4 linked regions of the Notamacropus eugenii genome follow. The protein of the gene in region 4 interacts with the protein of the main gene of each other region in a pairwise test. Links are inferred from orthologs where the notes say so. Each region holds a gene or a part of one and is shown on either strand. Other genes may lie near its edges.

Region 1 (7,631 bases), on a different chromosome or scaffold from region 4:
AGGAACATTTGAGTACTTTCCAATGGCTGTTGTTTAAATGAGAGGCCATTTTTAAAGCAAATTCCAACCACCACACTCAAGGCAGTAACTGCAGAGGGAAGAAAAGTTTCAAGGGGCTTTTTTCGGTGGATGTGTTCCTGTTTATATGGCCAAAGTTTCCACTTCCCTCTTAAGAAACTTTAGTTACAAAGGTTCTATTTGTTTGTTTTCATCAAATTATTCCTTAAAATCAGTGCCAAGAACAATGTTACAGGTAGTGGGGTTTGACATACACTTAAAAGACAATCTTGTCTCATGATAACCAAAGTCTCCTTCTAAGCTCAGTTTCTTTAGAGGAAAAGGTTGTGAAATTGAGGGAAGAGGGAAGAAAATGAAAGAAAGTTTCATCACCTTAACATGGAAGGCAGACACCTTGGATGACATGAGAGTCTGTGAAATATATTTAGGTATTTATCAGGAGGCCAGTTATACCTTTGTGGAAAACATTTTGAATCAAACCCAGTTCTTAAGAAGGAATGGAAAGAAGAAAGTTTAGTTAACAGAGCTTGATGATTCGGATTGTCACACCTGGACACAATAGATCCATCCACATTTTCTCTGTGGAAAGCTTGGGGGAAGGAAAGGGAGGGAATTGGGTAGAGACAAAAGTTTCTTTCCTTGTCCTGCTGGGTTCTGATGGTCCAAACCATTCCTATCTGGAGTGGCAAGCTGGTGTATATTAGCTGCCAATCCAGATGTATAATATGTCACAGGTGCCAAAGCAGGCAGATTGGTATACTGTATACCAGCTCAAAAGGGCAGACACAAGCACTATCCAGACTAGTCTAGACATTCTATCAGCAGTTTTTCACCCACAAGGGTGGCAGATAAGTTTAAAAGTGTGTGCAAAGCCTCTAGTAGAAGCTGGAAGGGTGAGACAGGACGTAAGGGAAGCAGAAAAGGGGGGAAGAAGGAGTGTAGATCAGGGAGGAGAGGGTGTGCTGAGTAATGCCTTGGGGCAACACACCCACTTAAGGGGTAGCAAGACCAGTGGTGGTGACCCACTGCAAGGCTTTATTACCTCGAGATAGGGCACGATCTTGCAGGAGAAATCCTCTAGAAGCCATTTCTTGGTGAGCTCATGGAAGATGACCAGCGGCAGGCAGAAAAAGATGATGAGGAAATCCCAGAAGGCCAAGTTGGCCAGGAGGGAGTTGGAGATGCTCCGCATGTAGTAGTTGTGGCACACGATGCACATCACAGCCAGGTTGCCGATGATGCCAGTGCCGAAGATCACCACGGACAGACACATGACGGCGTAAGCTCCGTAGGACTCTCGGGTCAGTGGATAGAAGGGGTTCTTGAGCTTGGGGCGCCGGTTCGTGCCGTTTCCCCCGCGGGGGACGCTCCGCTCCTGGAGTGCCTCTCCAGAGGATCCATTTAAAGGCAATACCTTCCCCTCGGTTGCCACTGTCTCCTGCGCTTTTTTATCCACATTGGCTGCGCTCCCCAAGATGGGGGAACTGGTCAGGGGATCACCGCGGGATTTCCCAGCTCTCCTCCACCTGGAGAAAGGTTCCGGGGCTCCGGAATGGGTCTTGACATTCTGCCCCTGGCTGCCTCCTAGATCAATATCCTTGCCACCTTTCTCTTTATCCGTCTCCAAGGAAAGTCTAAGGGCAACCGGCAGCTCAATCACCGCTGCTCTGAGAGGAACTAGCCAGATGCCAGGCCTCCTCTCTGGGGGCACATGAGAAGTCCTGTGAGCCCCAGTCAGTTTCCCAAAAGGCGCTATTAATGTATTTCTTTCTTTTTCCTCCTCCTCTTCTTGTGCTTTGGCTACAGCTGCTCCCCTGGGGCTGCTGGACAACACTTTCTGCAACACGTCTCCCGATCCCCAAACTTCCCAACCGCGCTGCTTCGGGGTCAGAGCAGGCAAGGCTGTCTTCCCTAAACTGGTTTGGTTCCCAGAGGCTACGGCGGGAGAAACCTCAAGCTGCAGCAGGAACGGGAGGAGTAAGGTGAAGACGAGGGGCGCGCCTGGGGGCCGCATGGCTCCGCTTCACTCGGCACCTTGGGGGCTGGCAGTGGCAACAGTGGCTCCTTAGGACCGGCACCTGCTGCCCAATTTGGCGCCGAGAGTTAGACACATGTCACTGCGGGGATGAGCTCCTCGGCGCTCGGAGGGTGCCTTCCTCTGGGACCACGAGGAGGGTTAGGCTGGAACCCCCTACACTACTCCGTTTGACATTCTGTTCATTCCCCTAACTAAATCCAGCTACGCGCTGAGCACCACAAGCGTGGATGGGAGTGGGGAACCTCCTTCCTCTTCGGAACAGGGACTGACCTTTGAAAAGTTGCAATCAACGCCTTTGACTATTAACAGCATTAATGTTACAAGTGGGAGAGATAAAAAGCCCCCACTGAAACCCAACGCTCCTCCCTTTTTTCCTGTGATTCTGCCTTCTTGGTAACAGTTGCTCTGGATCTCTGGCTGTCTATTTACAGCCTCTTGATGTTGCTTTATCCCGTTGCAAGCAAAGGTCTCCAGAGACAGGGAAGAACGTCCCCCTCCCCCAGACGATTGCTCGCCTTAGACAATCCTCTTCCAGAACCTCTCTCCTAGTAAACAGGTTGCGCCGAGCCGTGCTGGAAAGCGAGTCGCCCTAGAAAACTGGCTCCGCCTGACGTTGGGGACTAGCTCAGCTATTGCGGTCAAGGAGAAGCGAAGTGGGGACGCTAGAAGAGCCCAGCGGCAAGAGTCAAAGTTGCTTCCTCTCCTGCTCCAAGTTATCCGGGGAGCAGTCCAGGCTGTCCGGCGACCAGTCCCTGAAAAGAAGGACGACGCGCGGGTCAACCGGCGCTCCTGGAGAGCTGACAACACTGGCACCCTCAGGAGCATGAAGTGGAGACTGACTGGCCGAGCACTCGGGGTGAAAAGCGTTAGGATTGAAACAGCTGCGACCGGGGCGGTGCATGGCCAGGGGGAAGGAGGAGGGCTGAGCTGTGGTTCCAGCTGCTGCCGCCGCCGCCGCCGCCGCCGCCGCCGCCGCTGCGCGTGGCTGTGGGAGCGCAAAGCTCGTCTCTTCCGACTCCTCCTCGGAGAGATGCTGGTTTGTGAGGAGACGGGTTCCCCTGGTGGTTTAGGGCTCACTAAATCCTCATACGCTACATTCAAGCCCTTTGTAGTTGCTTCCACTTTCGGGAGGAGAGAGGGGTGGGGGATGCGGTGACGACTGGTGAGGGGAGGATGGAGAAGCCAAGCCCCCCCAGGGCTGGGTTTCGGAGCTAAGGTTGGGCTAGGTTAGTTCTTCCAGCTGTTGGAACGGGTCAGACCGGTCTGATTGCCAAGGGAGCAGGGAGGGGCCGGACCGGGCCGGGAAGGTGCCCACGGACGAGCTACCAAAAGCTATCTTGCCTACTGAGCATGCCCAGGCCAGAGCCACTGGGAGTTGCAAGGTGCGGCTCGCACTTCCCCAGGTTTTCCCAAGGGCTGAAGGAAAAACGAAGGAAAAAGGATTTACTGTTACTGGGAGTGAGGAGGACAATAGGAAAAGTCTCAGTAGCATAGATCCGCTCTTACTTGGCTACCAAATTAGCAAGAGTCCGTCCTAGGGGATCGTAAATCCACACAAAGGACGTTTGGAGTAGGATCTGTTTGTGGAGAGTGGGAAAAGAGAAAAAACTAAGCCCCGCCTCCGTCCCCACATAGTGTGTGGGCAAATTGGGTGGGTAGTTAAGCTTTCTTGTTGTTTGAAGAAGGGATACTATGCTAAAGCCTAAACAGGCTCCAGTTTTCTGATGCCCTGACCCAAAAGAAGAGGCAGCTTCAGGCTCCAAAGCTTTTTTTCCCCAAGCTTTGCCAGGAAAGTCTCTCCTTCCTCCGTCCCCCGCCCCCCTTCTTCGTCTCTCCAAGGAACAGCCCTTGTCTGTTTTCCTTACCGGCAGCAAAAGGGACTCAGGAAATTATCCGAATTTATAACCCTCTGGTCAGGCCTGAATAACAGATCAGTGCCTCCCCTAGCAGATGCCAATAATAATAATACATTAACATTCCTAAATTCACACAGCCCAGTATTATCTGAGACCATGCCAGTCTATGCTTAAAAATGTAAGAACTGGAATCTGACATTTCCATTGCCTGCTTTGACACTAAATTGAAAGAACAGCTTGAAGATCTTATTCCACCACAAAGTTACAAAGAAAATGTGTTGGGGCTGATACTCAAAGTATGGAATATAAAGAACAATCCCGGTAATTAGTTCACCTTAGAAAACCTTTGTTATTGGACCCTCAATTTCACAGTAATTAGAAAGATAAGACATGACAGATTTTTAGATGAAGGAAACAAATGAAGTAAATGAGCCAGCAATACCAAGGGAAGGAAAATGGGGGAGGGGAAGTTGGCCAAATTCCCTCTCTACCCACCTTGACCATTTCTTTCCAACGCTGAGTATGCCCTCACATGCCTCACTGACTAGCCATCCCATGGGTTAGTCTTTGGGAAGGGGGTAGAGAGAGGAAATAAAGGAGGAATGAGAAAAGTAGAGATGCTCAGAAGTAACAGAATCTGAATAAAAGCTGTGAAAATAACTGCAAACAGGACTTTTCTCTCTCTCTCAAGATTGTTGCACTTATGTGCAAATTTAGTCTTTCTAGTTATAGAATGTTTGTTCTCTTGCCTGCAACCAAGATGGGGGTGGGGAGGGGTTAGAGGAAAACCCTGTTTTTCAGATTCTCCATTCTCACTAAACACATCTATTTTGAGCGGAGCATTATTCCCCAGAAGGTAACTGGTAACTGAGACACTTTTCCATACTACATTGAAAAATCACACAGAAAAGCAGACTTAGAGTGAAAGGGGCACTGAATTTGAAGTCAGAGTCACTGGATTCAAATCTATACCCTGTAATTTATCACCTACAGGGCCTTAAACAAGTCATTTTTACCTGTTTAGGCCTTAATTTATTCATCTGTAAAAAATAGTAATAATAAAGGAATTGGATTAGTTGATGTTTCAGGTCCCTTCCAACTCTAAATTCTAATATTCTAGAAATATCATGAACTGTCTGACTCTTTGTGACCCTATCTGGGATATTCTTGGCAAAGATACTGGGATGATTTGTCATTTTATTCTCTAGCTCATTTTACAGTTGAGGAAACTGAGGCAAATAGAGTTATGTGACTTTTCCAGGGTTACACAGTCAGTCAGATTTCAACTTAGGTTTTACTGACTCCAGGCCTGGTGTTCTACCCACTGTACCACCTGGCTGCCCTCCTGGCAAAAAGTAGGTAGTTAAAAAATGCCTCTTGATTCTTACAGACCTATAAGAATACCAACCTCTTAGTCCATAGCATCTGTAAACAATGATTCATCATTTCTTTATTGGGATTTTAAAATAATGCTTCTAGACAGAATTCATCTGAGTCATTTGTACTCCCTTTTATCTCTTTGATTTTATTAACACAGAAAATAGTCCCCCAAAACAACTGTATGTCTTAGAGATTTGATGGGTCTATGCACTTTGAGGGAGAATTTACCCAACTTTAAAAAGAAAAAAACTATAGAAAATGTAAAACTCCATAGCTATTGGCAAGTGTATCCTCCAGTTCACCACTTGGAGCCTTGGTCTGCCAACCAATCACTGACTTGTCAAAAAAAAAAAAAATGAGCACTTTCCAGAGTGTGACCATCACAAAGAAGATTATATATGAAAAGTAAAAGATAAAGTCTGGCCCAATTAGTAAACTTATTTCAAATAAAGTCATAACATCAAATATTTTATTTAAGTCTGAAGACTTAAAAAAAAGAGAGAGAATTCTTCTTCCAATGAAAAGAATATACATTGAATAGATTCACTATTCTCCCATAAATGAGAGAAGGTGAGACTCAATAGCCACTCTACTCACTTTGAGTCCCTCTGTAAAAATATAGATCTGAAAAAGAGATGACTAATCATTGTCTAGTTTGTACCAGCATCATTTGTCTATATTATAAGGACTGATTTGAACATAGACTTAGCTATGTCAGCATTCCATTGAGCTTGTAATACATAATATTGATTTTTGTACACAAAAAACTACATATAAATAATGGCCTCTCTTGGTATTTCTGTCTAGTTTATTGCACCTTATCCAGCATTTGTTGTGATGAAGAGGAAATATAAAATTAAGGAATAGAAGTGATTACTTTGAAGTTTGAGATATTAATTTGGCTTGGGTGAATGCAATCAGATTTCTCACCCAATATACTCTTCTTCATACATGGATTCCCGAAGCAATGTTTTAATTCCATTCCCTGAATTTAAAAAGATATCTAGTTCATATATCCAAGAGAAATGACAGTATGCAAGCAATGACATGTAATTTTTAAAATTGGGATTTTAAAATTGTGCTTCTAGAAAGAATTTATCGGAGTTATTTGTATTCCATTTTATGTCTTTGTTTTTATCGTTCTTAATTATTTTTATTTCGCAGATTGCTATTTAACAAGATAGAAATCCCCAGCAACTATCTTTCTGAGGCAAATAGGTGGCATAGTGGATAAAGTTTTGGGTCTAAAATGGAGAAGATTTGAGCTCAAATTTAGCCTTGGACATTTACTAGCTGTGTGACCTTGGGCAAGTCATTTAACTTCTGTCTCCGCTCAGTTATAAAATAGATAATAATAGCATTTAATTCCCAAGGATATTGTGAAGATCAAATAAGATGATATTCATAAAATCCTTGGCACATGATCGGTTCTTAATAAATACTTGTTTCCTTCCTTCTTTTTGTTCTTGTGACCACAGCCTTAACCAGGTTAGGGTAATTGGAATTTTGCCTTATGGCCCCTGAAATTTAGAGAATAAATAATGCTTGAAGTATATCAGCAGCACAGGAACAACTGTGCTTATGATTTAGCAAGGTGGAGTGCCTTATTTCCTCTGACCTCTGAACATATTCCCTAGGTGACTGATTCTCTGTTGCATCTCCACCTGCAGCAAACTTCCCCCAGCCCAGTAGCCTTGCAGGTGTCACAGAGTCTCCACCAACATCCACTCCCACTAACTACAGAACTGAATGAAGTGCATATTTTATGCCAACCGTTCAAAGAAAGTTTTGTGCTATTTGCCCCAGTGCAAAACTTTGTCATGGCTCGGCTTGTGACAACAGTGGGAAAAAACAAAGCAAAAGAGCTCATTAGAGTTAATGAGAAAACTGGCAGTGCTTTGGGAGAGACATCAATGAAGTGGTCTGTTTCTTTTCAATTAAATATCATAAGTAAATTGCTATTTATGTCAGAAGAAAACATACAGTTATTGTCATACAATCACACTAGTGTAAAAGATTAGTTCACAAATTACCTGCAATATCCTTTTAACATTCAAGAGCCTAGGTATATTGGAAAGAATACTGAACTTTTAGTCAGAAGATCTGGGTAAAACTCCAGGCTTTGCCACTTCCTAGTCACATGATGTTGGTAAATAGTTTGTTTCTCTGAAGCTAGCCTTGCTCGCCTGTGAAATAATGACACTATTATTTTCACTTGTAGGAAGTCTTCTGAGGATTACATGAAACAATACGAAAGTGCTCAGTACATGATGAATTCTAAAGGTACTTTAAGTGAATTCATGAAGGTATAGGGAAGCATTTTGAGATCACCATCTACC
Region 2 (7,188 bases), on a different chromosome or scaffold from region 4:
TTTTGATAAAGGAACCAAATCCACAGCTAGCTGAAAGTAGCCAAGAAAAATGACCTAGAGTTACCTGGAGAAGGTTTCCTTCACTGTGCTTGATTAATGAACCTCATGGATATAAGCAGACACAGCATAAAATTATCCCTCCATTTTCTAACATGGGTCCTATGTTAAAGCATGTTTGGGAGGGGGAATCACACTAAGGGGGCTTACATAATGAGCATGTAGAGAAGATGGTGACTTAATGGAGAATGGACCAATCCATCTCCTGGTGGGAGGATCTGTCTTGAACTAACAGTATATGGCTCATCTCACTTCTGTATTCAGCACTCTCTCCTCCTGAAAAGAAGGCGGGGTGCTTTGGTCAAAGTGTTCAATTCCTCTGAACTCTACTGTAATAAATTTTCCTTGATACCTTTTTAGTGTCAAGAGTGTTTCTAACACCTATCACAAGCAAAATTTCTATAAAACAAAGATACCTAAGCTTTATCTAAAAACCAGATATTTCAAAAAGTGTTACAATCAACAATACAGGATAGGGAAAGAACTTGGACAATCCTTTCAGCTAATTTTAAATTTCGATCTGTGAATATTATGTAGGATTCCTACAACACTGGTGCTAGAAGGGATCTAAGAAGTCATGTAGTCCAATACCCTCATTTTGTAGACCACAGATGAGAAGCTAGAAGGGACCCCGAAGGTCATCAGACCCAAACCTCTTATTTTGAAGATGAATAAACTAAAGCACAGAGAGATAAAAGGACTTGCTTGTGACTTCTGACTCCCAACTTCAGTGCTCTTTCCCTAGTACCAATTTAACAGATTACCCATTCACAACAGATGAAGAATGAATAGTGTAAGAGTATGCTTGCCCTCGTACCTGAATGAATGCATTTGCTTGCAGACACTTTGCATTTTCCACTGTAACCTTGATTCCATTTGTTGTTGCAAAACAGGTAGCATGGTCTTTAAAATGAATAGCTTTTAATATGTTTGAGAGATTCCTTACATTGTCAAGGCTGGCAACTAAAATATATTGATCGCTTCCATCTTCAGTCTGTGTGGTAAGTGGCATTTTCTATTCCACATAAGTTTCCTTCCACTGGGTTTTCCTAATTTAAACTGGAATTAATCAGCTGTCTGCCTTGGTAACCTATAACAAAAATAAAATCTAATTTGAGTTCAGTGACTCCAGAAAAGAATTGCTTCAGTTGTATCCCCCTCCAAAAATGTTTTTTTTTTTTTTGCCAACCAATTTTGTTTTCTTAGCAAAATGTATAAGCACAACTGTTTACCTCTCACTCCACCCCCTCCAACTGCAGGAGAAAAAAAAATGTGTAATGGAAACATTACTAAATTAGAAATCAAGAGGCCTGGACTAAAGTGTGAGTTGTGCTATTAAAGGACTTGTGAAGTTGGGAGTCACTTCTCTGAGGATGTTTCCTGAAAAATGCCCTAACTGACTCCCATAGGGCTGTTCTAAGAATAAAATAATATATTCACATTGTAAAACATTTTCACATGATTTCACAATCACAACTTGGATTTTTTTTTTGGGTGGGGGGGGGTGCCAGACCTGTGAATTCATTAGTTTGAAAAAGTCCTGGTGCAGAAACTCACTCTAGAGATGCAGACAGACAAGTAGTCTACAATTTATAATTGTAAAAAGCTGCTTGGAGCACTGAAAAGTGAAGTGACTTGCCCAGGTTACTTGGCAGATGTGTTTCTAAGGGAGGACTTGAATCCAGGTCTTTCAGATTTCCAAATTTAGTTCTCTATCCACTACTCCAAAGTATCTGATGATAGTATAAATTTTATACAAAACATTAAGTCAGGGGAAGTGACTTGTCCCAAACTACATCTCAGCTGAGTCAAAGCCAGGATCTAGGCAAGTTCTCCCCATTCCCCGTGAAAGGAACATGGGGTTTAGAGCTGGAGTGATTCCCAGAGATCGTTCAGAATAAACACCGTATTTTACAGATAAAGCGGAGGTTGCGCAGTGTAGCTAAAACAAGTCACTTAATCTTTGTCTGCTTCAGTTTCCTCATATAAAATGAGGGTCTCCTCATATAAAATATGTATCCTCGTATAAAACGAGAATAAAAATAAATGAGAAAACAAAAAAGAGAGTATAAATATAATAAAAATATAATATGAAAATAAATGAGAAAAAATAAAAATGAGGATATAAATGTAATGAAAATAAACATAATGTAAAAATAAATGAGAAAATAAAATAAAAATGAGTCCGAATACAATAAAAATATGATATAAAATAAAATGGGAATAAAAACACGTCCCAGGGTAGGGGGAGGACCAGAGGCGACGCTTCTAAACCGCTTCGCCCGTTACTACCGTTATTATCTTTGTAACAGGCCCAGAGAGGTTCGCCGGTTAAAAAGCTGGCACACCAAGGATCCGAACTCAGATCCAAGCTCTTCCCCAGTATTCACGTGGCGCTCCCAACGGAGCACAGCGCTAGGGCGGGTAAAAGGTTCTGTCTGTCTACACCGCCCCGACCCAGGGAGGAGACGGAACACACCGGGGGGGTCCTCCGGCTCCTCGCTTCTTCCTTTCCGGCGCGGCTCAGGGGTCCCCTCCTACGGAAGCTTTTCCGGATCCCTCCCGGTGCTGGGTGCTCCCTTCTCCTCCTCCCTTTCTCTCGTATCGACTCATCTAAGCGTTATTTCCACCTCCGGCTCCTCCGGGGCAATGGCTGTTTGTCTCCGCGGCCCCACTCCTAGCTCAGTGCCTCACTAGCCCAAATATCCGTGGGTAGGAATAAATTCCCAGTCCCGTACGATCCTCGCAGCGTTCCGAGAAGCCTCGGCTCCCCTCCGCCCCTCCAGTGCAGGCCGGCCTCAGGTGTACCGTTTTTCCCGCCCCCAAGGCCGGAAGGAAGCCCCACTTCCGGCTTCCGAGGCGGACGGGAAGTGTCGGAGTCTTGGCTTGGTTCTACTGCGCTTGCCCAGACCCCACGACTACACAGTGCGACAGCCGTAAAGGAAAACCGGGGTTGGGTTGAGCTACGGAGGAAGCATGTGCTTCCACCCCGCCCCCTTCCCCGCCCTCTGCCCCGCCCCCTGCCCTGCCCCCAAACGCTTTTGGTACCATAGAGACGGGAAAGAGGAGAGAGAGGCAAGGCGGCAAGGAGTGGAAGGCGAAATGAACAACGTGCGACCGCCGGAAGAAGGGGGTCTGGGCAAGATGGCGGCCGTCAAGAGGAAGCGGCATGGAGGAGGGGGTCCCGAGGCGAAGAGGCCTAAAGGAAAAGGAAAAAAGGCCGGAGCGCCGGCCAAACAGCCCCCTCCAGCCCCAAAAAAGGCAGAGGAAGAGGAGGAGTACCGCATCCCGGGCCCCGTTTCCAAGGTACGAGCGGCAGCTGAGGGTCTCGCGTGGGAGCGTGGGCCCCCGCGTGACCCCAACCCGGTGTTCTCCCCGCCAGGGTGCGGCGGCCTGGCGATACTCGGCGCGGTGCAGCCCTCGGCCCCCCTGTCCGCTGTCAGGCCGGGCTCGCGGCGGCCCGCGCACGTGGTTGTCGCTTGGGAGCGCAGGCCGAAGGGCCTGTCAAGTCAGCCTGCACTTATTAAGCGCCTACTGCATGCCAGGCGTTGTCCTAAGCATGTTTGTTTTAAACAGTCCCTGCGCAAGGAGTTCAGTCCACACGAGTTCAGACAACGTACGAACAGCTAGGTGCCACGGCCTACAAAAGAGCTGGATTGGGGAGGGGCGTGGGGGGGCACGAAGGTGTGTGGGCATCCCTGCCCCTTGTGTCCGGGCTGTTGTTAACCCCAGTTCTCCGCTGAAGAAGCGGGGGCACCCCGAGAGGAAGGGGCTTGCCCAGGGTGGCACAGCTAGCGTCCGAGGCAGGATTTGAACTTAGGTCTTCCCGCCTCTGACAGGGCTCTTCCCTGCCCTGACGGGTTGTAGGCAGAGGAACGTTGGGGTTTGTTTAAGGTGGTTCTGTTACTGGACCACGTCTTACTGGACCACCGCTGAGGTTCGAGCTTGACGGAGGTTCTGGAGAAATTCCAAAATAAGTCAGGATTTCTGCTGTGCGTCTTCCTTCGGGGCCTCCTGGGCCCTAGATGTTGTGCTCGGGCTTAGGGATTTTAAACATCCATCCAGAAATTCACGGTCACGGAGGACGAAAGGGCAGCTGACATCCGGGAGTCGTGAAAGGTCCGCTGTGGCCCGTGAGCTGGACCTCCAGGGGAGCCAGATGCGGCCAGGGTTTGTGGAAAGGGCAGAGCATGTGAGAGGGGGACGCTGCAGTGTGGACCATTGGGGGTGAATGGGTCTGGAGAGAGAGAGTGGAGCTAGTGTGCAGCTCACTTAAATGGTCAGATGTGCTGCGAGTGCAGAGGAAGAGGAGGGGGAGAGGCCTTTTAAATTGGCCTTGAAAGGGTGTTGGGATTTCTGTAGGGGAAGAAGAACAACTTCAGTTGGAGAAGGTGACTGACAGGAACAAATGTGTCAGAGTGGCACAAGTGCCATGTGTGTTTTTTGGGGAAAAATAGAGTTCAGATTGGAAAGAGTGAGGAGTTCATGGTGGAGAGTTGAATTAGGAAAGGGAGGATGCAGTTAGACTGTCAGGAGTTAAGGGGCTTGGTAAACGATGAAGCACCAGGGGAGTGATGTGGCCAAAGAAGAACTTTGGGAAAATTAATCTGGCCATGGTGTTTTGATATATTGAAGAGCTGGAGCTCTGGAGGCAGTGTGAACAGTTAGGAGATTATTGACCTCATCTGGGTGTTGACACTGAGAATAAAAAGGAAGATATGGAGATGAAGGAAAAAATGGGCAGTTTGGATGTGGGGGCTTACAGAGTAAGAGAATTTCCTAAGATTTAGTGCCAGAAATGTATGGTAACATACCCAAAAGAGTCTGAGGAGAAATTTGTTTGAGGGAATAGAAATGAGGTGCATTAGTTTGAGGTATAACAGGCAGAAATATAAGAAGTTGGAGAGACTGGAGATTTAGTTATCCATCTACAAGCATTTATTAAGTTTCTCCTATCTTTGAGGCACTATTTTAGGCATGGGGTACAAAGACAAAATAGTACTTGCCATCATGAAGCTTATATTCTATTTGAGAAGACTGTGTATACAAAATAGATATGGGGAGGAGAACTAGCAGCTGGAGAGATCAGGAAAGAATGTAGAAAGTGGCACTTGCTCCAAGTTTTGTAGGCAACAAGCTGTCAAGAGGCTGTTGGACTCGAAGACTTGTTCTAAGGTCTCTTCCAGTTTTAAATCTGTGATTTCAGGAGGACGTAAGAAGGTGTTTAGAACAGCCATTGCAAAGGTACTGAGTTGAGAAGTGGAGTGTTGGCCTCCATCAGCTTGGTTGTGTGATGCTGCATATCTCCAGTCTTCAGCATATGAACAGGAGTGGAAGCAAGTGGCAGATGATGAAAATAATCCATGGATAGGTTTGGTAAGCCATGAGGATTGATAGGGTCAGGGGTCAAGGAACAGTATAATGCTGAACTGGCCAACTATAAAGTGGAGATTGGGAAGGGGCAATAAAGTGGAGCCAAAGCAGAAAATCAGAGTTAGATAGCTTGAGAAAGTATCGAGGGTTGGGATCAGAAGGCACAGGGATGATAATTAGTAGGTTTAGCAGAGGTAAGGGAAAGATGAAATTAGAAGAGGTTAATCTGATAAAAGGGATTTTGGAGTTTTTGATTCTGAATGGTGGTAGTTGAAACTATATGCTTGGAAGAATATCTTTCAAGTCTTCTATCACCAGTTACCTGTGAAGATATCTCCAGGTGGATAACCTGTAGACAATTCAAATATAAAACAGAGCTCATCTTTCTCTGCAAATCTGCTCCTCTTACTAACTTACCTGTTTCTTTTTAGGGTCCTGCTTCTGGTCTTTCAGGTCTGCATCCTTTTTCTCCATTTTTTTCTCACCCCTCATGAAATTCATTTGGCAAGTCTTGCTGATTCTGTGTCTACAGTATTTATTGTAGCCATCCCCTTCTCCCCATACCTGGCTGCCATCCAGGTTCCGATGTTCCTTAACCTCTGTCTTGGCCTATTGCAGTAGTTCCCAAATTGATCGTCAAGTCTTTCCCACTTTCCGTCCATTCTCTACATTTATCCTGAAAGCATCTGACCTTGTTACTCTTCTGCTCAGAAAGCTCCAGTGGCTTTGTCTTACCACCTCTAGGATAAAATACAAACTCCTCTGTTTGGCTTTTAAAGCCCCTTACCATCTAGCTCCACATTTCAACCAAACTGGCATACGCTGTTTTTTCTTGTGTTTGAAGCTTTTCCCTACCTGGCTTTAGCCACGTTCTGCAGGCTTGTTATATACTTTATTCCGCTTTGTGTTCTCCGTGTTCCAGCTAGCCATATTCCACTTTCTGCCTTAGATCTTTCCCAGATCATCTCCCATATCTGTATGCTCTCCCATCTTGCCCTCAGAGCTCATCGCAAGTGCCTCTTGTCCTAGAAACACATCTAATCTGAGTTGATAGTGCTCCCCCCAGTAATTAATTAGTATCTCCTTTGTATACATATTTTATTCACTTTTCTGTGCACATATTTTATTTTTCAATACAGATTGTAAGTAAGCATTATGCAGCTCTTGGAGGGGAGGAGTTGTCTTATATTTATCTTATGTCCCTGTACCTAATGTTTTTTGAATGAATGAAAAGGGAAGAGGGCTTGGAATAAAACTGAGAAGGTCCATTTTTGATTAATGAAAAGCTAAAGAATAAGTGACAGAGACTTAACAGGAATGCAAAAATGATAGATTGCCTCAAATGCCAAGAAAAAAGTTGTAAAGAGGGTGAAGGTTGGCAACCGGCTGGAAAGTAATTGATAACCTATGATATGTATCCTGATCATTTATCCACTTTATTACAAATAGTTCTATTTTACCAGGTGTTACCATTTTTTCTTAAAAATTTCAAGCATTTGAAGCCTTTTGTGTGCAGAGAATTGTTAGTAGCTGAATGAGATAAAAAGTTTAAGATGGTGTCTCTACTCTCAGGAGAAGCCAATAGGCTTTGAGGAATCAATGACACATGCACTTACATGTTAAAGTTGCTTTTCTAATAAAAGTATTGAGTGGTTGAGTAGTTTTGAGGGAGAGGTGTAGTTATTGTCCATAGAAAGACCAGGAAGACTGGAAGGTAGTTGCTTTTGAGGTAAGTTTTTGTGGTACTTAGCAAAAAAA
Region 3 (6,851 bases), about 190 Mb from region 4:
TATCTGAAATAGAAATGGACAATGGTTTGTTAAGTTTCAGCACATCATATTAATGTTGAATAACTAAATTTCAGATGTCATAAAATACTGGGCATGAATCTAGAATAGTGCAGCTTCATACTTCTAGCTTTGTAACTGTGGGTCAGTCACAACTTCTCAGAGTCAGTTTCATTATTTGTAAAAACTGGAGATAACATTTGAATGGACCAGTTCAAGGAAGCTGTTGTATGGAAAGCAGTTAACATATTTCAAAATGCTATAATGATAACAGCTAATATTTGTCATGAAAAAATATTAAGGACCATGCCCTAATACTCTAAAGTTAATATTGGGGGAAAATATGGAAAGTTATGGTGGGATAAAAACTTTTGTCCTATTAAAACAAAAGAATATTTGCCCTTCTTTTCACTGGAATTCTGCTAAGAACTTAAAGTATTCAAAATTGTGCCAAAATGAAGGATTATTACCTCTTTTGGAGCCTCCTTTTCTATGAAGTCAGTATAAATTTTCCGAGCCTTTGAGTTCAACTTCTGGGGAGACTTGGTTTTCTTGAAGTCTTCACAAGCCAGCCAGAATTCTATGTTTTCTTCACAAAACTCAGACTTTAAAAAAGCCCTAAATGCAGCAAGACCATCTAGAGAGGAGGGAAATGTGAAGAATTTATTAAAATAAAAATGTCTTACATTACTTTCTGTTATTTATCTTTTCAACAAACCTAAGACTTCAATACAGGATTTTCTATGTTGCAGTAACTTGCCAGAATTTACTCAAACTTGCAAAGCTCTAGGTTTCAGAGTTTAAATGCCAGCAGGTAAATTTCTTAAGGTTGGCACATTGCCATTCCAGAGCACCTTCAAATATATAAAAACTACGCTATCAAGGAAAAAGAAATAGCTCTGGTGGAACCATAAATCCTATTGAACTAAGCCCTTTGAAAACATTGTTTGCAAAGGAAAAGTTGACTCAACCTTAACTGTGAACAAATGCATTTGTAATCAGGCTGAGTCTCACTCTCTCACTCTCTTCCCACCTGAGGATATTTTACTGGAGGTATAACAATACACACAATTCCACTGGTTATTAAAAAAAAAAAAGGACATTTGTTTGAATTTAGGGCAGAACTTCCTCATAATGAGGGGAAAAGAAAAAAACAACTAATCCAAACCTTACTTATGTTACAGGACTTGACCCTGGAAAACAATTGCAATGTCCAACTTCTAAAAATACATCAATCTAGTTTATAATCCATGGATTCAGCTACCGAGATTAAAATCACTTCAGATTGAGTTTAATATTTCCACTTACATTTACTGGCAAGAAGCTCATCAAAAGTTTCTGACCACAGCTGTGCTTCTTCAGGAGAAGGTCTGCAAAAATGAGTGCATACATTTAAAAAAAAATTTGAATTTCTCCTACTTCAAAGAAAAGGCAAAATGCACATTAGACAAAAGTCCACTGTTAAGTTTGGGATCTCTAACTTACCTAATAAAAGCTTGCTGTTTGCCTTTCTTGTTGGCTTTTGGCTTCTCAGGTGTGGATGAGTTTTGAAGGAAGTAGCTTAAACGTGTCTTCCAGTCTTTTATGCTAAAAGGAAACAATCATATTCAGTGAGTGATGATGCTTTATCATTATAGCTGCCCACATTTTACCAAGTACTTCTATTCATACCAGAAACAGAATCTTAAACGACAGAAAGACAAATAAGACCTTACCAAAATAAAAACCTAAGCACTGCAGTGAAATGAACCTTTCTGCACTAATAATGTTTAAGCTTATCTTGAATGATCTGAACATGGCTTTTGGTTTTACTGGTTCATTAAGTAGCCAAGGTGAGGTTGCTTTAATGATTGAGAAACTTTAAGTCATCCTAAAAGTGGTGAATGAAACAGGTTTTCCTTTTGGCCAGTGTGAAATTTTAGTTTCTGCAACACTATGACAACTCTGGGCCATTTTCAGTCATCTGGTGAAATCTACTTCAATGACACTGAAATGAGTCAGAGCAGTCTAATTAGTTTCCTCCTTACTCCCCCCCCCCCCCCTCCAAAAATTGAAGGCTTTGGATAAAGCCCTACGTGGAAAGTTTGTGCAACAGTTCTCAAAAGCAATTCTAAGTTTCTCCTTTCAAACAAAAGAGCTTTAATACTTTCTAAGAAGAGAGAAGCCAAAGAAGTAGGTCTCCTAGTTTAATAACTCTTCTCACTTGGGAAGTAAATTCGTAAGCCCAGCACCTGCTGTATCAATAAAGGCATCCCTGTCCAAGGAGCAAGATAGAAGTCGGGCAGAGCTACCGACCTGGAGAGTTAGAATACGGAGAAAAAGGCTGGAACTCGGGAAGACAGGATTTTCAGGCTACTTTTATTTTTCTTTAATGAGGGAGTGGAGGGAGTATGATTTCTTCTTTTAAAAATCGAGGAATGTCCGGGGATTAAATGCATCCCAATTTATTCTTCTTGGCTTAAATAAGAGAACAAGACCCTCCCTCCCCCTAACTGTGATAAATAAAAACCGCTACAACCTTACTTTAGTCTCCTTTAAAGACTGAGATACAGCCTGTTATAAAGTAACCTCTTACTATGCTTTTCTAACCGGGGGAAAAGCTTCCTGATGCCTAGTGTTTCTGAAGAAATCCCATAAAAGGAGAAGAAATGGGAGTAGGTGGGAGAGATGCTTACATCGTGCGCTTCATCTTTTCTCTCTTCTCTTCGCCCTTTGGGTAGCTGCTGGCACTTTTCTCCATGGAGCCGCAGTTGGGTTGGAAAGCCAGGAACATAGCACTTTGCATGATACAGATCCGAGAACTGGGCTGAAGACGGCAGTCGCCTCTGAAGGCTCCTCCTGGAGCCGCCGGGCTTTATAAGACTCGGAGGCTGGGGAAGGCGAGGGCGATGGCGTTCGACTCCGCCCCGCCGCAGAGAGGATTTGCTGGGAACAAAAGATATGTCAGCGACCGCCTCGGGAGTCCCCGCCACCCTTCACTGGGGCTGGAGCTGAGGACAGTGCTGACGTGAGTGCTCCCTGTGAGTTCATGCGCAGTGATGCCAAAACGGAGCTGGAAACTCTGAAAGGGTTTTTTTTTGCGGGGTGAGGTGGGGGGGGGGGGGGGGGGGGAAGGGAATAAACAAAGATCTCTCACTGTATGGCTCAGGCTGTTAACCTTTTTCGTGCGTGCTGCGGGGCTCACCAGACGAACCTGGAGCCACCTTGGATGGAAAGAGCGGTTCTTGATTCAGGGAGAAAGGAGAGAGATGGGCACGACTCGGTGTGCTCCCCCTCTTCTTCCCACCTCCTCACCCCATGAGCCAAAAGACACCTCATAAGAATCGTGTTTGAAATCTGGGCTTCAGCATCTCCGCCCTGGTACATCTCACTCCATTGTATATTTTAATTGAAAAGTGAAGCTTTTTAACTGAGAAAATTGCTTTAATTTGTGAACTGTCAGAGACTTTTTTTAAAAAAAAGTCAATCCTTGTTTAATTGATTGGCTCAGAGCCTAGTAAATTACTTTCCGAGACTGATTAGTTTAAAGCAGTCAGTACTTAGAACCAAACTCGCCTCACCAAGTATTATGCCTTTCATTGAAAACTGTCTCACCTTTTTCAAAGGGTGTTCGGAACCCTGCTGTGGCTGACTTCGGCCAGATTGATTCTGAGATACATTCATCTAACTCAGGTCTCAGCTGGACGCTTTCCTGCCCCAGGTCAGTTCCTCTACGTCTGTTTAAGGAACTGACCTGGGAAGCCCTTCAAGATGTCCTTAAAACGTTCGTGTCAGGGCAGCCTGGTGAATGCAGTTATGCTGAATGACCTCCCACCTGGACCTTCTCTGCAGGGCTCCCAAATAGGATTGTGTCCACCTTGTTCTATTTAGGGGAAAATCTGATCTAATCGGGAAGGGGAAGTGCTTACTTTTGACACAGCCATTGTAAGAATCTCAGGTTTGACCAACACACCTAAGACAATGTTTGGAAACAGGAATTGTTCAAACAAAAAAGTAGAAGGAAGGTGTTAGTTTATCAGAATACAATAATTGAAATCTAGATTTCATAGATCTAGAGCTGAAAGGAATCTCAGAGGTCATCTAGAGATCAACCCACTGTTTTAAAGATGTTGAAAATGAGGTCCAGAGGTTGTGATTTGCTCAAGGTTAGACAGGTAGTCAGAGGCTGGTTGGGTTGAATCACAGACCCTAAGGATGGATGTCTCTCTGACCACATCTCTTTATTCCACCATGTTAGATTTTTAACTCTTTTGCCCCTTAGTGCTAAGTACTTCCACTTAATGCTAAGCACCTACTATCAGTTAAGCAAGGTGGTGAAATGGATAGAGCACCGGGCCTGGAGTCAGGAAGACCTGAGTCTTCAGATCCAGTCTCAGTTACTAGCTGTGTGACCCTGGGCGAGTCACTTAACCCTGCTTACTTCAGTTTCCTTATCTCTAAAATGATCGAGAAGGAAATGGCAAACCACTCCAGTATCTTTGCCAAGAAAACTCCACATGGGTTCGCGAAGAATTGGACACAATGACAGATTATTGAACAACAACGACTGATTTATTTTCATCCATCGCCTGCTCATGGCTCTCTACCTCTCCCCTCTCCTCTCCAATATTTTATCCTGTAGAAAGATGTAGGGATTTTGGCTCTTAGGTGTGTTGGAAGTGTTTGTTCATGTGTTTTGGTGGAACAGAATGTTTAAGCTGGAAGTCATTGTAGAGGCCATGCAGTTCTGCCTCCCTTTTGCAGATGTGATAACTGAGGTTCTTGGGGCAAAGTGACTTATCCAAGGCCACTTAACAAATAAGTAAAAGATACAGGTCTCAAACCCAGGTCAAGTTTAGGGTTCATTCCATTATATATGCTTATTAACCTGGCTCAATTCCAGAATCCGTATAGAGAGACCGGGGTTCATTCTGAACCATGTTATTTTTAGAAGCATAGGCGTGCAGAGTAAAATTTTCCTGTACATTTGACATTTGGCAGAATTAGGATGTACAAGTATTTTATGTTTCAATATATTTGAATATTATGTATTTAACCTTTCTCAAGTTTTTGACACGGAGTGCTGACCATAAAGAAGAAAAGACCTCCACGGTACTATAATTTGCATTTCTCTGCAACACCTCCAGAATTGAGCATAATCCTATTTATGCTGAGGCAGCTCAAAAGCTTTCACTTGTCTATCATGTATCGTGATAGTTAATATTAATTGATTTTATGAAATGATTGTGTAAAGTCAGTGTTCAGTTGAGGAAAATTAAATTACTGCCTACTCATCAGATGTGTTCTATCCTCTGTACTATACAGTTCAACTCTGTGACTGCAGAGAACATCTTTATCGTGCAGCGGAATATTCAGGTGCCTTTTATTTCTCCATCTCCTCCCCTCTCTACCCCACCTCCACTTGCACACAGTGTGAAAAGAACACAATAGATATGACAGCTGGGACTGGATCTATTGTATCAGCTACATTATCTTTGCAAGGCAAATGGATAATTTTGCCAATGAACCACAAGTCTTTGTTTCCTATGTAATTCCAAATCGTTTCCTATCAAGAATCTAATCTGATTGTAAAAGTTACAGCAAAGTATTGGCATGGTTGCAAATCTCACCTTTCTTTAGACTAAAGTGCAGTTATGAGTGAACTATAATTATTCTTATGTTCATCTGCCAGTAGCTGGAGCTCTAAGGATGGAAAAAATACATGGCCACGGACCACAGGGGCAGAAGCTTCACCTATTTTAATAACAGAAGAATAAGGCTGTTGTGTAATCCTGGAAAGGCACTTGATTCTGAAACGTTAGATGACCCACAGGTATTTAATTTATATTTTCCCTCAGTCTCTTGGGGAAAAATTAAGGAAGTAAGAAGCATGCATGCTTTCTTTTTCTAATACTGTAAAATGGTTTTTGTATCTCTATCTCTTCCCTCTTTCCATATGCTCCTTCCCCCATTCCAGCTTTTATGTATGCATAATTTGGAATCTTAGAAGGTATAGTTGAACTGGGATTCATGGAAAACCAGTAGTTCAAATAAGATTAGGAAATAGGATATGCATAATTACAGGTATTAAAATATTCAAAGAATTTTATAAATGAATTTTTCTAGGAATTATGTGTACTAATTATAACATAATTAAAATTGTCTATGACTATTACAATATTTAGGAAAGATGGTAAGAGTATTGTGAGTATTTAATTTTGATAGTTAATATAGTTACTATATTGTACAGAGAATCTACATTAAAATGTATTTTTGCAGGAATGGTATTTAATAAAATAAAGATTTTATTACTGCCCTTAAATAGAAAAGTGCTTCATTTGATTATATGCTTCTTTATTTCTTCTTGCAAATAGACTTTAGTCAAAGTGGATTACTTAATTTGAAAATGGCACATATTTTCCATCCTGTGTTGGTAATAAACACAAAAAGCAATAAACTTCGCTCAAGTCTAGCAGCCTGAGAACTTGACTATGTTCTTGTTGAAATGACCATGCCCCCTACTGGTAAGATTTTTGACCAAATACAGAGAGATCCAGCTCCTGGATTTATTTTTAAATTTTTATAAGATTTAAACCTGTTAAGGATACTATTGAATCTCAGATCTGTTGAAGTATTATTTAACTAATACCTCAATGATAAAAGGCTAAAATGTTAGCCTTTGACCATATATAGAAGAAATAAATAGAAAAAAAAATTCTAGCCCAGAATTTATACTATTTCAGGAAGCTCAAAAACTTTCACTTCTCTTACCATGTATTGTGGTAGCTGATATTAATTGCTTCTTATAAAAGGAACTTGTGAATTCCACACTACTTCCCACTCATCAGACGTGCTCAGAAATAGTCCTCATGTTC
Region 4 (7,941 bases):
AAAAAGGGATACAAAAATGTCCTTAGCAGATCTTATGTAAATAAGGAACTGAAAACAAAATATTATATGAACATAATGGAATATATACCATACGGTATTACAAATATAAAGAATTCAGAAAAAATCAAGAGTTGTAGAAAGCGAGCGAATTAGAGACAAGAAACACACAAACACGTATATACACACATAACTTCAACAATGTTGTCAACAAGGTAATATTGAGAAGCACTAAAATTTCATGCTATGCAAGTTAAAGAATATTTACCCTCTTTTTGTTAACAGATAGGTAAACACAATTTTCAGGGAATTTATCATAAAGATGGTTTGTTATTACTACTTGTAAAATATCTCTATCATTAAAATAAAATGTGTCACTTTTTTCAAAATCATCCGTGTATAATTCAAATCAGAAAAAGTGACAAAAGTGAGAATATGCTTCAATCTAAACAATTCAAACAAGTTCTCAGTACCAAAAGAATGAAAAAAAAATTTCTTCCAAAAGTAAAGATACCATTCCTTAAAAAATGTGAGTGAATCAAAATAGTTCTCATAATAAGGAGGTCAAAAGGAACCAGAAATCTTGCTCAATCAACATGTGTAATCTTCTTGTCAACTGGAGGAGTAGAGTAACACATATTTAGGGTGCAAGCTCATTTACAAAACATTATGGAGGAGGAGGACAGAACTAGTATAAATAATCTCATTAAATTCTAAAAAGCAAATGAGGAGAAAATTAATCTGTGGAGAGCTTTTCCTAAGACCCACCTAAACTAGATGATCTTGACAACTGCGTTTCATACCAGACAATAGCAAATAGTTGCAAATGAAATAAATCTTCTTGAATTTTTATGGCTTTATTTTCACTGATAATGATAGTGGAACCACAAAGTTTGGACTTTTACCTCAGTATTCACTGATATTCCATACAAGAAATAATATTGGCATTGATAAATATGAAGGTGGAATTAGTGATTGAACCTAACTGAAAATATATAATGAAAACACCACAATTTTTAAATTCCCTCAAGCATCAGATTGGGAGATTTGCCAAAAAGGAGCTTTTTTTTTTTCTAGCAGAAACATGTGATAGAACAGACATCAACAACCACTGACCCATACACTTGCCTTTGAATCTCTATAAAATCTTTCTGAGACTAGTTTATATAAACATGGAGAATAATTTTGATAAAAACAGATTCGATATCATCAGAATTTTGATTTTCTACCTATATGCCTATATATTTACGGTTATACAATAGTCAAAGAAGAAACATTTTTGCAGAGTTCAATCAAGGTCATGAGAACAGGTTAGTAACTATATGAGGGCAAGTAAATTTAAAAAGTCAAATGAGAGTAAGACTTTTTCTTATTTTTTTCCCTGCTTCAACTAATTACAATTCTCAAAGATCTCCCAACAGAGGTATGTGAGTGGAGTTAACAAATAATGCCCTGTATTCCCACCAATCACTATCTTAAGATCCCAGGGAAATGAAGAAATTAGGGAAGGATCACAGACATGTCAAGAGTTAAGCTATTTCCTGTATGTAAAAGAGAAGCTGGGAAGTTATTTTTCTTTCTCCTTGCTCTCCCTGAATGTTGATCTGACACCATGTTCATTCAGCTAGAAAGGAAATGGAGACTTACTATAAGACAAGAATTGGATATTATGCATATCTCCTTGCAGTATCATGCAGTATCTGCCTGAAACTAACTCCTATTCCAGATATCTATACCTATGCCAAAGTATTGTGTAGAGGCTTAGGTGGAAAGAAGAAAAAATATGAAATCATCCATTTTATTTACATGTCATTTTTCCTCCCATCTCTACTTTCAGGCAAATATTACAAAATAATGGAATAAAGGCATATCATCTTACTCAAAGTACAATAAAGAGTTTCTTGGAAGTCATTTGCTATTCAGGAACAACTAAAAAGTTCCATGAAAGCTAAGAAATTACAAGAATAATATGGATTTACTATTCACATAATTTATATTTATGGTATATTTATATGTATGGTATATTGGTACATAGAATGCTTGACTATATACATATAGATTTTGAATGTAAAAAGATAAATTATATGGTTTTATTTTACAAAAACTTTACATTATCTTATTATTATTGAATATGATTACATATAAAGTATTTCTCCTTATACAGTCCATCTGTTTGATTCTGTGATTATGATCAGATTTATATCTATATGACCAAAACATTCTAAAAGGAGCATCAGGAGTTCCCATGGTAACTCTTTAGGATAAATTGCCATATGTTTTTAATATGGAGCGTTGTAATTGTGACTTATTTAAAGACTGAAAAATCGGACACAAGAACTGGGGGTGAGTTGAAGAAGAGAAGTTGCCCAGAGTTTTAGATTATTATGTCACTGAAAACTGATACAAGCTGTATCCCATTCATTGACTGAAGATAAACCTTAGAAAAGACACTCTTTGGAGTTAATAACTTCATAATCATGGGAAGGTCTATATTGCTGAAAAAAGAAATGGTCAGGTGTAAGTGCCAGAGAAATGAAGAAAGTCCTGTTGGTCCAATCACACTTAGTAGGGTGCAGGCTGCTACTACAAGTTGCTCACACATATTATTTACCTCCCTTTTATTTACCTATCTTTTCTATTACTTTCAAATAAACTTTCTGTATTTTGTTATTCACAGAAAATGTTACTTTCCACCAAAAGGAATAACAAGAAATGACCCATGTTTTCAGAATCACTTTGGAGATATATTAAAGCAATAAATAAAGGAAGATGCTTACGCCTCACAAGAAAAGGTATTTATAAGAAATCTTCCTCAAAGGAATTGTTATTTGAAGATGGAGTTACATTTGTGAAAAATAAAAGTACTGAAATATGTGACTTTACTAGGCCATACACTCTTTAGGAGAGGTTATGCTAAATAACAAAAGGTCTAAGTATGTTGGAAGATACAGATTTGTATTATGAATTATGACTTTGTAATGAGCATGAACTAATGTCATTAAAGAGAAAACAGAAAATGTTTTATACAGTCTTATAAAATTCCAGTAAACTAGTAAAATAGGTTATGAACAAGGAATTATGAATATTAGATAAAAGAAAAATAAATCATCTTCCTAAGTGGAATAAATTTGGTACTGTATGTTGGTGATACGTGAGAATCTTTTGACTTTAAGTATAACTTCTACTTTATAATGAAAAGAATGAGGTTTTTGTAAACAGAAATGTATTGTTTTCCCAAACCTCAAGAAACACAGACATAGACACACACACACACACACACATTCTAAATGAGACACTATGTATAACATCATAATAGTCTTGTCCAAAAGGTAGTCATTTCATAAACTTACTGTATGAGTAACACATAGATACAAATAAGTATATGGGTTTAATGTAACATTAGAGAAAAGATAAATTCCAGTATAACTACTCAGATTCTACCAGTGTAAGTTATACAACTTTGAAAGCTGTTTTAGTTACTTGAAGTTCTATTCCCAATTATGTGGTAAATTTAGTTTGTTATACTTAATTCAAAATCATTTATCAAAGAGAGGCATAATTTATTAATTAAGCTTATGTAAAGAAGTCATCCATACACTTTGTTTTACTGTATACTCCGACTATTTTCCCTCTTTTTTGCTCTTAAGATTATTTTATTTCTAAAGAGCACAAACATAGTATTAAAAATACTATCAAAATAATATTTTGATTATACCAATAGGCAGACATAAATTTGATTAAAATCTAATTGAAAGGTCAGTTTTTGGGCATCTTTGGAGGGGGCCAGGCTTTTAAAGTTTGTATTAGGAAGAACAGTTGAAATATTTTGTACTTCAGTAATACATCCATATTTAATGGGGGTTTGGACAGCTTAAAATTTTCTGCTTTTAATATTATTTTGTCTGATAGTTGAGTGAATTTATGTCGGCTTGACAGTTTTACAAGAGATTCATGTAAAACTCGGAATTCATGAAGTGAAAGGTCTTGAATCTGGGGTGGGGGCAGGGGAAGGAAATCCTCCTCAGACCAGCAGCAGCTGGAGCAGGGTGGGAGGCCTGAAGACTATCAGGTGAGATCTTGGGAAGGTGCTTATCAATCAAAACGTTATTTTTTTTATTATTATTCAATCACCGCAGGATGACGGGCACCGCGTTTCACTTGCCCCAACCCTTTCCGGATAGCGACCGTGCACCTGTATCTCCGTGTACCCTGCCTGATTCGGAGAGAGCGCATGGAATCGAGGAGATTTATCACTTACGACTGAATTTTTCATCATGGCTTTGACAGTGAAGCCGTCAGAAACCAGGGTGTGCGGCTGGTGCACGGGGAGTGGCTGTGGAGGCTGGAGTTTGGTCCTCTTCATCATCTTCTCTGGACTTTTATTTAGATTCAGGGTCTCTTTTTCTGCCACCATCTTCCTAGGAAATGTCTTGTTCCCACATCCAGGGCTTTAAGAATGACTGGGCGGTGGAGGGGAGGGAGGGAAAGACACAGCCGGAGTGGGGTTATGGAGAGTAAAAACGGCACTGTAATGGTAATGAATTCAACCCTCCAGGTCCTGCCCGGGTTTGCTTCTAGTTCCAGCTGTTTGGCAGCTCCAAGGTGAAGAGGGAGTTTGGGGAAGGGGAGGGGCAGAAAGGGGGGCAGGACCGTATTCTGCAGCTGCAACAGGCTTCCAAAGGTCCTCAGCGAGGTTGCTAGGCAACGTATCAACATCGCAGCGGAAGTCTCCCAATGACGTAGCCATTCCAGGCCAAGAGCCGGCAAAAGGGCGGGGGCGGGGCGGATTAGAAAATGAGCGGCAGGTTCCGCACTACATCTCCCAGAAGCCCTCAGGGACGTGTGCGTATACATGCGCGTGCGCATTACCTCCTCTTCACCCCCCCCCCCGCCCCCGCATCTTCAGGGGGCGGGGTAGGGAAGGGTCGGGGAGGGGGCGGGGACAAAGGGAGCGGGGAGCTGAAGGCTTTAAAGCTGTGAACGCTGGTTGTAGGAGGCGAGCGCGGGCCCTCGGGGCAGGCCGCTGCGCGCATGTTAAGCCTCCTTCGTCTGTCCTTAGAGCCACCACCTGCCCAGTGACCATGATAGGTACGTGGGTGTTCTCCAGGTACAGCTGCTTTCCGCCGCCTCTTCCCTCCCCCACCATGTGCTGGTTCTTGACGCAGGTGTGAGACCCTGCTGGTCACTGTCAAGGACGGTCTGGGTCACCTAGCGAGGTGAGGGGTGCTCTGAGTGTCCCAGAGCCCTGCCCCTCCCAGTAGAGGCCAGAACAGGCGATTCTGGCCTTTGGCTCCCCTGGTTTTGCCCCCAACTGAAGGCTGAAGTGCCCCCTTCCCCCGACCCCCAGCCGATACGCAGGTGCTGAGCCCACCTTTCCTTTCCCCCGCGGGTTGTATGAGACCACTGCTCCCTTCCCCTGAAAAGGAGGCCAGCCAAAGAACGTCACCCTGAAAGTGCCCGCTGGAAATTGACCCCGACCCCCGCAAACCCTGCCGACCTTCAGAAGCTGTGGAGGTTTTCGAAGGTCAAAGGCGCCCCTGGTTTTCTCATGCTCATGTTTCCTCCCCATCACCACCTGTCCTCCCCCACCTTCCTTGCCCTAATCTGTCTGCAAGCAACCTTTGACCATCCCAGGGAGACCCCCAAGAAGCAGGACACGAAAGTGATAGGCTTGCAGTGACGTCAGCCTTGCGGAGAAAGGTTGTTCCCACGTGGTCTTTAAACTTCTCGAAGTCTTTGACTAGCTTTTCTTAATGCCCTATTTGAGGGGGTGTTTTGAAGTCTAGGACAAATTGAGATCGGTGATAGATGGAAAACAGCTTTTAATTTTTTTTTAAGTTAGAGGTATTCTTAGTATTGTTAGGCAAAATAGTGAGCAAGTTTGTGTTTGTTTGGTTTTTTTACCCCTATAAATTTGCCCCTAAAAATTAATGGAAAAAAATATGCTTAGGACCATCTTTACGGGACTATCAATGACTTCTCACAACCAGTGTTTGGGGTTTTATGGAATTGGTTTCTGCATTATTGTTGGCACATTGAGAATTACTGATACAGTATCTTTAATTGTTGCAAGTGAATATTCGGAGCCAGTTCCATCCATAAATGTTCAGAAAACATATTACTGTGTTTATGTGTGGTGCTTGTTTATTTTTAGAGAAGCTGTCCCTTCTTAAACATTTTAATTTTATTATAAAATTAATGATACAATGTAAAAGAATATTCTTCCTGTCACTGAAGAAATAAATACCTGAGTATCATATTCCTTTGGGACTATGTAGAAATAAGCTATGTTGAGTTTTGGAATCATAGTCCTTTCCTTACCCCTTCTATCTTGGTACTGCTTTCCAGTCAATGATTCATGGAAATTAATGTTTGAAAAATATTATTAATAGCACACATTTATATATGACTCCTTAGAGTTTACAAAACACTTTCCCTACTACTACCCTGGGAGCTAGATAGTGTTGACATGAATGTTTCTGTTTTATGGAGAACCAGAAAGTTAAAGTAACTCCCATTGTCTTGAAGCTAGTGGTAAAACTGGGATTACAAACCAGTTCTCTTAATTCCAAGTCTAGCAGGTAATTGTCACAAACCAGATTAAGTTAATGTTTTATGCAGACTACTCAGGCAACATGTAAACCTTGACAAAGGTAAAAAACAAAGTCCAAAGAATAAATATTTACAATAAAATTCACATTGGGAATAGGTCAGGAGGGGGGAAAGAAATACCGGTGCGCTGATTAGGAAAGTTTGGAGTACTTGGTCTAATGTACTTTGGATATTTTCTGAATTATGAATTGCCATATTTTTTTGTGCCTTTTAATTAGCAACCTTTCCACTGTACTCCACTATTTTATGTTTCAGTGAATATGATGATGGACTCATGACCGGTAGAGCATATAACCTGGTAAATTTTAACAAGCCAAAAGGATTCTGAATATGGCCCAATGAAGGGCTTTTTATTTGTATTCTGGGGATCATCCTAAGTATATCAGAGAGTTGGCTATAGAGTGATCATATTTATTTGGCTATAGAGGCTAAGACTAAGTCATGGCTAAGTGGGAAAAAGTGTTGGATTTGAAGTCAGAGAACCTGAGTTGGAGTCATAGCTCTGCTTCTTACAGCTTGGGTAAGTCATTTAAGTCATCTGGGCCTCAGTTTTCTCTTATGTAAAATTAGAGAAGTTGAACTGGAGTATCTTTGAGGTGCCCTGTAGTTTTTCATCTGTTGTCCTATGCAGTCAAGATTAAAATATGACTCATAGAGGGGTTGCAATAAGTATCAATGGAAGAAGGACCACATCAACAAAATTTCAAGCCCCTGAAGTGTTGGAAAGTAAGGAAAATCAACAAGTTTGAAAATAGCCATGTGTGTATATTTTAAATAATTATATATTTATAAGTATACATATATAAATATCTAAAATTATTACAATTGGCTTCAGTCTAAGGAATTCATTTAACCCTAGATTATCAACTGAAAAGTGATTATGTAATTAAAAAAACCACAGTAGTTGGACAAAACACGTCCCATAGTGTTCTGGTGACTTAGGGAAACAAGAAATGAATACCATATATATATAGCTGATGCTTTGATTGCATGATGTTGTGACCCTCATGAATGATTGCTTGCAGATGCCTCAGAATAGTTCTTTAAAAGTTTCTTTTTTAACATAACAATGGCAAACAAATGATTAAACATGGGGAAAGAGGGAACATGTTGTTACAGAAAGTGCTAGGAGTCATGAGACCTGAGTTGAAATTTTAAACTCTACAGTTTCTAGTTATATAACTGTGGACAAACAATTTAATTTTTTCTGAATTAAAAGTCCTCTCTAAAATGGCCATGTTACTTGTACTATCTGTCACAGGGTTTTTGTGGGAAAAGCACTTTGCAGACTTACTGTGAATTACTTTAAATGCCATATGTAAAAAAGCCAAG

Evidence for each region.
Region 1: the proteins of PRKN (region 4) and GPR37 interact in a two-hybrid assay, tested with the Homo sapiens proteins (2 studies listed by BioGRID). The link is inferred for Notamacropus eugenii from reciprocal best matches to the Homo sapiens genes PRKN and GPR37.
Region 2: the proteins of PRKN (region 4) and RAD1 interact in binary tests that used the Homo sapiens proteins (3 or more experiments, as listed by UniProt). The link is inferred for Notamacropus eugenii from reciprocal best matches to the Homo sapiens genes PRKN and RAD1.
Region 3: the proteins of PRKN (region 4) and RGS2 interact in binary tests that used the Homo sapiens proteins (3 or more experiments, as listed by UniProt). The link is inferred for Notamacropus eugenii from reciprocal best matches to the Homo sapiens genes PRKN and RGS2.

The regions. Positions count from the first base shown.
Region 1 is NC_092874.1:126,116,398-126,124,028, reverse strand, and holds the start of GPR37 (prosaposin receptor GPR37), read right to left. Parts: upstream 3,019-7,631; 5' UTR 2,033-3,018; coding exon 1,061-2,032; intron 1-1,060.
Region 2 is NC_092875.1:426,526,518-426,533,705, reverse strand, and holds the start of RAD1 (cell cycle checkpoint protein RAD1), read right to left. Parts: upstream 3,005-7,188; 5' UTR 2,537-3,004; intron 1,148-2,536; 5' UTR 1,070-1,147; coding exon 875-1,069; intron 1-874. Other genes in the region: BRIX1 (ribosome biogenesis protein BRX1 homolog), read left to right, coding at 3,034-3,363. UniProt on the Homo sapiens protein: Component of the 9-1-1 cell-cycle checkpoint response complex that plays a major role in DNA repair. The 9-1-1 complex is recruited to DNA lesion upon damage by the RAD17-replication factor C (RFC) clamp loader complex.
Region 3 is NC_092873.1:449,848,754-449,855,604, forward strand, and holds the start of RGS2 (regulator of G-protein signaling 2), read right to left. Parts: upstream 3,007-6,851; 5' UTR 2,783-3,006; coding exon 2,673-2,782; intron 1,585-2,672; coding exon 1,483-1,584; intron 1,368-1,482; coding exon 1,306-1,367; intron 635-1,305; coding exon 468-634; intron 4-467; coding exon 1-3. UniProt on the Homo sapiens protein: Regulates G protein-coupled receptor signaling cascades. Inhibits signal transduction by increasing the GTPase activity of G protein alpha subunits, thereby driving them into their inactive GDP-bound form.
Region 4 is NC_092873.1:256,731,392-256,739,332, reverse strand, and holds the start of PRKN (E3 ubiquitin-protein ligase parkin), read left to right. Parts: upstream 1-4,941; 5' UTR 4,942-5,078; coding exon 5,079-5,085; intron 5,086-7,941. Other genes in the region: PACRG (parkin coregulated gene protein), read right to left, coding at 4,256-4,411. UniProt on the Homo sapiens protein: Functions within a multiprotein E3 ubiquitin ligase complex, catalyzing the covalent attachment of ubiquitin moieties onto substrate proteins. Substrates include SYT11 and VDAC1.